2 linked regions of the Canis lupus familiaris genome follow. The protein of the gene in region 2 purifies or fractionates together with the protein of the main gene of each other region. This does not show direct contact. Links are inferred from orthologs where the notes say so. Each region holds a gene or a part of one and is shown on either strand. Other genes may lie near its edges. The genes, in order: MARK2 and ARHGEF2.

Region 1 (3,795 bases), on a different chromosome or scaffold from region 2:
CTCACGGAGTGCTCTCTCTTTTGGTGTTGAGGGCCCTGGGCTTTGCTTCCTGTCTGCCCTGAGGATGGGAGGGAGCAGCCACCCAGCACCGGCCTCCCCCAGGCCCCAGACTGGAATCCATTCTCTCCTGCAAGGCTGGCGGGCTGAGCCACATCTTGCCCACAGGGACTGGGTCCCTGCCTGGCTGGGAGAAGAAACAGGAGGAGGCAGCTCAGATTCCAAACATTCTCTTTATTACGTGTTTGATCCAGAGGAGAAACTAAGTGCGGGTGGGGGGTGGGCTGGTGGGGAGGGGCCACCTTGCCTGGGAGCCCCCCCCCATGGGCCACCACCCCCCTCTGAGAGCCAAGCCATGCCCTCCTGGCCCCCTGGCCCCCTCAGAGCACCCGGGCTGTTCCACTGGGCAGGAGGGGTTGGGAGGGAGGAAGGGAGAGAAGGAGGGAGGGAGGAGGAGCCCTTGGTCTGAGCCTGAGCTCAGCTCAGAGTCCACAGTTGGGGCTTGGGGCAGGAGGGCTGAGGTTGGCTAGGCCCCTTCCTGGAACCCAAGGGCTCGACTTGCCTCAGAGCCTGGGCTGGGAGTGGGGGGTGATGAGTAGGGGTGGAGTCATCATAAATCAAAAAAAGAAAAAATAAAATAATAAAATAAAAAATAAAACCCATCACAAAAAAATGTACAACTCAGGTGAGGGCAGGGGCAGCCTCTGTGCAGGACCTCCCTCCCCCAATTTCTCAGGAACAGAAACAGCAAAGAAATAAATTAAGGGATGCAGCGGCCGCCACCAGCCAAGCGCCCATAACCAGCCACTCCCACACTGGCCAAGGAGGTTAGCAAGCTGGGAGTCGCTGGGCCTATCTGTCCCCCCACCCCCTGGGAGGGCAGATGCTCCCGGCCCCGCTGCCCTGTCCAGCCTCCTGCCAGGTGGCCATGGAGGCCCTGGGCAGTGTCTCCTGAGAGGAGGGGCGACAATGTCAGGAAGAAAAGGCAAGGCCGGGAGATGAGTGGTGAGGGGAGTCACTGCTATGGAACGAGCTGGTGCCCAGATTAATGCCAATGAAGGGGGCAGGGGAGAGGAACAGCACGGGGCTGTGCTTTCAGACAAAGGCTCTCCCATAACGGAGAGTGCCTGGCATCCCTGTTCAGAGACTAGCAGCCCAGGCGGCCCCCTGGGGGCCGAGGAGCCAATCTGCCCTGCATCCGTCCCCTCCCTCTCCGGCCCAGGGGTCAGCCCCGCCTTCTACCCAGGAGGGGTGGGAGAAGATGGCACAGAGTTTTGAGGAGGGGAACAAAAGTCCCCACAGCAGCTTGTGGAAGGAAATGCCCAGCTCTGGGGAAGGAGGGGCAGAGGATACAGTAGGGAGGGGGCCAGGGCCCGGGCCTCACCAGTCAGCCCAGGGCAGCTGCCAGCCCCCCACCCCCACCCCCACCCAGCGCAGCGCCCCGCCCCCAGCCCGGCCCGGTAGGCCTCCAGCCCCGTGGCCTGAGGTCAGGGGAAGGCCACCTCTGGTGGTTTGCTTGCAGGGGAAGGGGGGAAGGAGAGGGGAGAAGCCCAAAGTGGGCCTGGCGGAGGGCCTGACAGGGAACTCCACCACTCTTGCCTGAGAGTGTTCCAGCCCTGAGCCACCCTCCCGGGAAACCCCACAGATCCAGTCTCAACTGTCCCAATGGGGCAGGGAGGAAAGGTGGCCGCTGGGATTTTTTTTTTTTCTTTTTTCTTTTTGGTAATAAAAAATTTCTTGGTTTAGGCGAAATACTCTGTGCAACCGCAGTACCGAGGGGGAGCCCTGCCCCCCCACCTCCCTCCCCTTCCTTTGCCTCCTGTTGGGGAGAGGGGGGAAGGGGGACTTTCTGGGCAGGGGTAAATGTTGGGGGAGGGGAAGAACCATCTCCCGTCCCCCCCCCACCCAACAAACATGGAAGAAAGAACCGAGAAGGGCGGAAGGGAAGAAGTGCCAGCAGGGGGAGACACACCGATCCATCTCCACAGTCTCGCCCAGGTGGGTTGGAGCCCGGCCCCAGCAGCTAAGTCCAGCTGGCCCGCCTCCGTCGCCCCCCACTCCCGGCAGCCTGTTAAAGCTTGAGCTCGTTGGCTATTTTGGAGGCAATGTTTTTGAAGGCCATGGAGGTGCCCGATATCCGCTTAAATCGGACACCGTTGAGAGACAGCCGCGGCAGTTTGCACACCTCCATCTCCCACTGCACGAAGTTCTCGTGGCCAGGCGTGCCGTGCATGCACAGCAGCATGTACTTCTCGTGCAGCTCACTCTGGCAGCTGTTCGCGTCCAGCACCTTGCGGATCTCCCGCATCATCTCATTGGGCTCCATGGAGCTGGTGGTCTTCATACTCCACGTGAAGCGTAGTGAGCGCGGTTTGGCCTCCCGAAACTCTTCCTTTTCTTTGTCGTTGCCTCCACCGCCCACCACGTGAGGTCTGCGGAGAGGGCAGAGGTGGGGGTCAGGGTGGGGGGCTGAGGCACCCCACCCACGGGAGAGCCACCCGGGCAGACAGCCCCCGAGACCAGAGAGGAGAGCGGGAGGGTGCCCGGGAGGCGACAGTGCCAGAGGAGGGAGCATCAGACCTGGTTGGGGGAAGCAGAGGGAGGGTGAGAGGGGTGGGCTGTTCTGTGACTTCCATCTCTCAGGGAGGGCAGAGAAGGGGAGGAAAAGCCAGGCCCCGGCGGGAATGGGAGGGCGCAACAGTTCCATGCTTGTCTTTGACGAGGGGAGGGTCAGAGAGAAACAGGGAGCACGTGCTCAACAGCCCTGAGCGGTTCACAGACGGGCAGAAAGCAGCAGCTGAGGTACAGAAAGGTGAGCTGGTTGGTCGGTAGGAATCTGTAGCCCCAACCGCCCAGCCTAGGGCTCCTGCTTCCAGAATGCACCAGATGGGAGAAGGACCCATGCCTTCGGCAGCTGGGCTGGGGTTTCTCTGAGGAAAGGGAGGCCCCAAGAGGGCGGGCACAGGGCAGAACCACCGGAGGAAGAGCCAGGTGGCAGAAGGAAGAGAGGAGCAGGAGGCTTGTGGCAAGCCCGGTGGCCTGGGCAGGGCTGGTGCTGGCTCCAGCCCTCTCACCTGAGCGTCTCCACTCGGTCTTTGCTTTCAGGTTCATTCAGGTTCCTCAAAAAACAGAGCGAGGGAGAGTTTAGTGCTGGGACCTCTCGCTCCTTCCACCGCCGCAGACCCAGGTGAGGGTGGGTCTGGTGAGGTGCCACTGGACGGTGAGCAGGACCCAAGCTCCAAGGTCACCTGCCCATCACCTGGCCTGGCAGGCCTATATGGCTCTGCAGCACCTCACACAGGCAGCTCAACTGTCCCTTTCCAGCAGGGAGCCCAGCACGTGGGGCCTGTCCCTCCCCACGCTCCCAGACATCTGTGCTGGGGAGAAGGAGCCTCTGCTCTGGGGGAGGAGGAGGAGGAGGGATGTACAGGCACACGCATCGAGCACGCAGCCACAGCGTGAGGCAGCTCCCCTACCAGCCCACAGCCAGGGTCTCACGCTGTGAATGGGTCTTCGACGCCAGTGTACCTGGGTCCTGAAGGTACAGTCCTTTTGAAGGGAAGGGGCTGCACTGGGGGACATGCTGGGGGAGCTGGACAGAAGCCTCTCTCAGGAGGCTCAGAGGGCCAAGAGCTGGAACTGTGAGTGGGCCTGGGGATGGGTGCCTGGCCCTGAGGCCATCCATGGACAAGCCTGTCTCCCTCATTCTTTTAGAGCTCCCTTGCCTGCCAGGCTGCCAGGCCATCTGCTTGGACAGAAGGGAGGACAGAGGGCAGGGCAGGGCCAGCACCTTGGGAG
Region 2 (4,512 bases):
ATTAGATTTCTGCCCTGCCCCTAAGACCAGGAGCCTGGACACCTCTTATGGCTCACCATCCACTTCCAATGGGGGGTGGGGAAAGCACCATGCAGGAAATGAACCTCAAGGGGCAGGAGAGCCCACAGGCTGAGGGGCCTGGGGTCCCATTGAGGGTCCCGGGGAGAGGGGGGATCCTGCACGGGGTCTTCTGCGTGCCCCCACTACTCACTCTTACTGCGAAGGGAAACAGACTGCAAAGCAGTGCTGTTCTTCAGCAGAGCAGCCTTCTGTTGCTGTGAGACAGAGCAAGAGAGACACCAAGGACAGCTGTCACCAGGGGTTGCCCCCACAGGCTTGGGCAGGAGCTGGGCAGCTAGCACCTCGGGAGGAAGCCAGCACAGCGGTCATGGGCATGAGGGTGGCTGAGCCCCACGCTAGGGGGCAGGTGTCCAGAGCAGCGGGCTGGCCGCATGGGGCCTGGGGTGCAGGGTGTGGGCTGCCCCACAGTGAGGAACACAGAGTGAGGAGTGAATGGGAAGGGCACACTCACTACCCTCTCCCCAGCCCACTGCCCGCCCTGCCATCTCACCTTCTGCTTGACCTTGGTACAGTTGGCGAGCGTGTCTTTACAGCGGTTGTGGATAGTCACATTGCAGGCTGGGAGGGTGGGGTAGAGAGGGTGAAGGGGGGGCCGGGTGGTACAGGAGGGGACACACACCCACAAGCAGGCACCCGTCTCCCCCTGGCCACACAGCCGCTGAGGCACCTCTTCCCAGACCTCACAGCCACGACCAGACCCGTCCCTCCCCTCGCCACCTCTGCCCCCTTCCTTCCAGCAGGAAATCAGGTGAGGGGATAGAGGTGGCGACCACAAGGAAGCAATGCTGACTCAGAGGTGACCTGAGGGGTGGGCCAAAGGAATTGCTGGCTGCCAGAGATGAGCTCAAGGAGCACAGGGGTGGCTGAGAGTGACAGATGGAAGAGGACGCCCACGGGACAGGAGGTGGCATAGAGCAGCTGGGATGGGGGCCAGGGGCAGGGGGCGGTTAACATCCCCGGAGCACATAGCATGTGCTCCACAGTTACTTGATCCCAACGACCCTTTGGAGCAGATTCAATTTTCCTCATTTTGCAGATGAAGAGCCCGCCACCCCAAGAGGTCAAATCACCTGCCAGAGGCCAGGCAGCCAGCAGCACAGCTGGGCTTGAAACCCAGGTGTGCCTGGACCCAGAGGCCACGCTCCTGCTGTGCACCACACATGCACCCAAGAACTATGGCCAGGCCCAAGCATTCAAAGGCTGGTGGACCCACTGCTGGAGCAGGGACAGGCCCTGCCCCATCTGTCTCCAATGCCCACCAGCCTTCCCCACTGCTCCCCTCTGACTCCTATCTTCCCCTTCCAGGCCCGGGGCCTGTTCCCCACCCGGGGCAAGCCCGCAGTTCCCCACACTCCACTGGTTCCTGCCCCATCACCCACCCTGCCACAGGGGGAGGAGGGAAGAGAGGAGCGGTCAGGCCTTGGCAGCAGGACCGCTGGCTGTCTCTGTCCCCAACATGCCTCAGCCCTCTGCCCTATCTTGCTTCCTCCGCCACGTCCAACAACACAGGAAACTCTGCCACCTTCTTCAGACAATACCCAGCACCAGGCTCACTTCCACAAATACAAGGCGAGCAGGGTGGGGTGGAAGGGAGGACCGGAGGGGGCTGGGGCTGCCCCACTCCCCTAGAGCTCCCTTCTTCTACCCCCGGCACCCAGTGTCTCTGGATCAAACCTCCGCTTTCCACCTGCTCTCAAAATAGCGCTTGCTGCCTGCCTCCCCGGTTCCCCTGGCAACAAGCTTCCCGATAGGGAACTCTGTCAGGTCTGGAGGGATCTAGACCAGGCTTCCCTCCTCATTTCCCCAGTCTAAGGTGGCTAGTGAGGAAGCAGGAAGACCTTGCTGGTTTTTCCATAGGGAATGAGAGGCTAGGGCCCTGGTCCTACCATCAGCAGCAGGGCCAGAGGCAGCTCAGCTACAACCTGGGGCCGCAGGGGCCTTCTGCACCAGCACGTGGGCATCCCAGGGAAGAATGCCCCGTTCTGACTTCCTAAATACGGACGTGCTGAAGTCGGGAGCTCTGACCCCTCTCCCCCAACAGAACACATTCCTGGTATTTTCCCTCTTTCTCCCTGTCTGTTGGTCACACCAGAAATTTGAGACAGATGGTCCTCATCCCGTCCTCTACTTCAAACTGCAGAGACTAAGATAATTCAGGCTCTCCCCAGTTGATAGAAAGGGAGGAGCAAGGGGTCCCTGAAATCCTGGCCATCCAGTTCTGCCCAGGAAGACAGGCAGAAGCAGGTGCAAGGCTGGCTTGACATCCCCTCCTCCCCAGGACTTTCCTGATCCTTCTTTAAGCAGTTCCCGGAACCCTCAGCAGCTGCTCAGTAAGCCAGGGGACACCCAGTGGACGACAGCTGCAAGGGGAGCCACCCCAGCACCACCCCCCGGGCTCCCAGAGAGCCCAGCTTGAGCCCCAGTCCAACCCACCCCCACCCCCCGCCCCTCGGAGGCAAGAGGCACAAGGGATCAAGCATCTGGCCCTGCCAGGGCTCTAAGAGAATGACCCAGGGAATCCAGGGCAGAAAGGACAGATGGCAAGGTTAGGGTCAGTGGGCACCGAGTCAGAATGACAGTCAGGATCCCAACAACTTACTTGGGCAGATAAGGGCTTCCTTGGCTGTGATGCTCTTGTTACAGGCATAGCACATGGTCATGCCCGAGACGGAGATGGTGGTAAAGAGGTGCCCGTTGGTGTAGCGGGCGTCCTTGGCTTCCTTCATCTTCTCCTTTTCCCGATTCTGCAGAAGGGGTGAGAGACAAGAAGTGAGGCTCAAGATGGCAGGTGCCCAGCGGTGCCCCAGAGACAGGTAGAGGGCAGAGGCCAGGTAGCGATGCCTGACTGGGATTGCCGCAAGGACGGCACTTCCCAGAGAAGGGCCTGCTGCAGAGTGTCACAGGCAGCTGTCCAAGGGTGCCCGGGGCCAGCCCCAAGGGCCTGGCTGGCCCTCACCTACCTGACCCCTGCGGCTAGGCTGCCTCCTGTGGCCACTCATCTCCCCGGCTCTGGCCCTCACGTCCTCCCTGCACTTCCCAGCCCTGCTCTGCTCGCCCCCGGGCTGCTGTACGCTCTCCTCTGAGCTGGGGGAAGATGCGCAGAGAGGAGGGGAGAGCAGGCGAAGCAGAGGGTGCCAGCTCACCAGCGCTTTCAAATCTATGGGAGTTAGCTGCTCTTATAACCATGACAACCAGCATTGGAGCCCAGGCTCCGCCGTCATAGTGGGGGGCAGGAGGGCCCTTAGTAGATTGGCTGGAGGCCAGAATGCCTCCGTGGCCACCCCCAACCCAGAGGTCAGATCCCAAAAGCCAGGGCCTCTGTGAGAGGCTGGAGCCTGGCTTTGGCCTCTTTGAGGAAGGAAACTCAGCCCACGGGTCTCCTTGCTTCCGGCAGGAAGTCTGACTTTTATTCCTTATGCTCCCCTCTGAAACCTGGGAGAGCTCTTGCTCCCCCCACTCTCCCTGCTCCCCCATCTCCCATCTTGAGTCCTTTCTGGCATCTACCCTCCATCCTCTGGCTGCAATGCCATTCTCTGGGCTCTAGCAAGATGGGGCACAGTGTATGGTCCCCAGAACCTCAAAGGCTGGTGGCTCTCATCCCTGCTGCACCAGCCACTGCAGGTCAAGCCACACTCTCCCAGTACTCTCTGGCCCTCAAATCCCTGAGCTTCCCCAAGAGCCTGAGAAGATGTGCGATGCCTTCCTTCTCTCCTATTGCAGGACCTTCCTAGGTGGTCACCTCAGACCCCCAATATCCCTCTGAGATGGTGGCAAACAGGACAGGGCTGGCGAAACCACTCCCCTCTCCTCGACTTCTGAGCTCCTCAGGAAGAGAGCAAATTCCACACTGCTGAGGCCAAGGGCAGGTGCCCAAGGTGGGGGACACTGACTGGCTGGGGCCCTGAGACACAGAATGGAGAGCCAGGGGACAGCCCTTGGCCTGAGCCTGACTTGGCTCCCACACACCAGCAGCTGAGAGGCTGGGGGGGAACCACACTGGGCTGGTGCTGGGCAGGCGCTCTGCTGGGACAGAAAAAGGAAGTGTGCAGGAGCTGAGTCAACAGTGTGGGGGCCAGAGGGCGCTGGGCCATGGTACCCTGAGCCTCCAGGCCAGGGTCCTCTGTCCCCTGGCTCCCTGCAGAAGCACCAGCTTTGTGTGCAGAGCCTGGAGCTCTTAGGGTCCTTCCCCACCTCCCCTACTTCTCCCGTCTCCGTCTCCTCCTCTTCCTATTTCCAGGTCTCCCCGCCACCCCCACCCCACGGCTTCCCCACTGCCCTTGGCTTCTCCCTCCTGACCTTCCCCCCTCCTGCCCCCATACCCCAGGCCTTGTTAGGGAAGCCTACCTTCCAACCCGAGCCTCCAGTATTCTGGTCTCTGTTCTGCTCTGATACCTACCTATAAGACCACTAGAAAATTCTCCCTCTGCTCTA

What was found.
Region 1: the proteins of ARHGEF2 (region 2) and MARK2 purify together in Homo sapiens (affinity purification with western blotting; 3 studies listed by BioGRID and IntAct, with this or other methods). This does not show direct contact. The link is inferred for Canis lupus familiaris from reciprocal best matches to the Homo sapiens genes ARHGEF2 and MARK2.

What each region holds. Positions count from the first base shown.
Region 1 is NC_049239.1:53,608,205-53,611,999, forward strand, and holds the end of MARK2 (serine/threonine-protein kinase MARK2), read right to left. Parts: intron 3,117-3,795; coding exon 3,072-3,116; intron 2,430-3,071; coding exon 2,069-2,429; 3' UTR 212-2,068; downstream 1-211. UniProt on the Homo sapiens protein: Serine/threonine-protein kinase. Involved in cell polarity and microtubule dynamics regulation. Phosphorylates CRTC2/TORC2, DCX, HDAC7, KIF13B, MAP2, MAP4 and RAB11FIP2. Phosphorylates the microtubule-associated protein MAPT/TAU.
Region 2 is NC_049228.1:41,818,951-41,823,462, reverse strand, and holds the start of ARHGEF2 (rho guanine nucleotide exchange factor 2), read right to left. Parts: upstream 2,827-4,512; 5' UTR 2,808-2,826; coding exon 2,681-2,807; intron 640-2,680; coding exon 572-639; intron 276-571; coding exon 212-275; intron 1-211. UniProt on the Homo sapiens protein: Activates Rho-GTPases by promoting the exchange of GDP for GTP.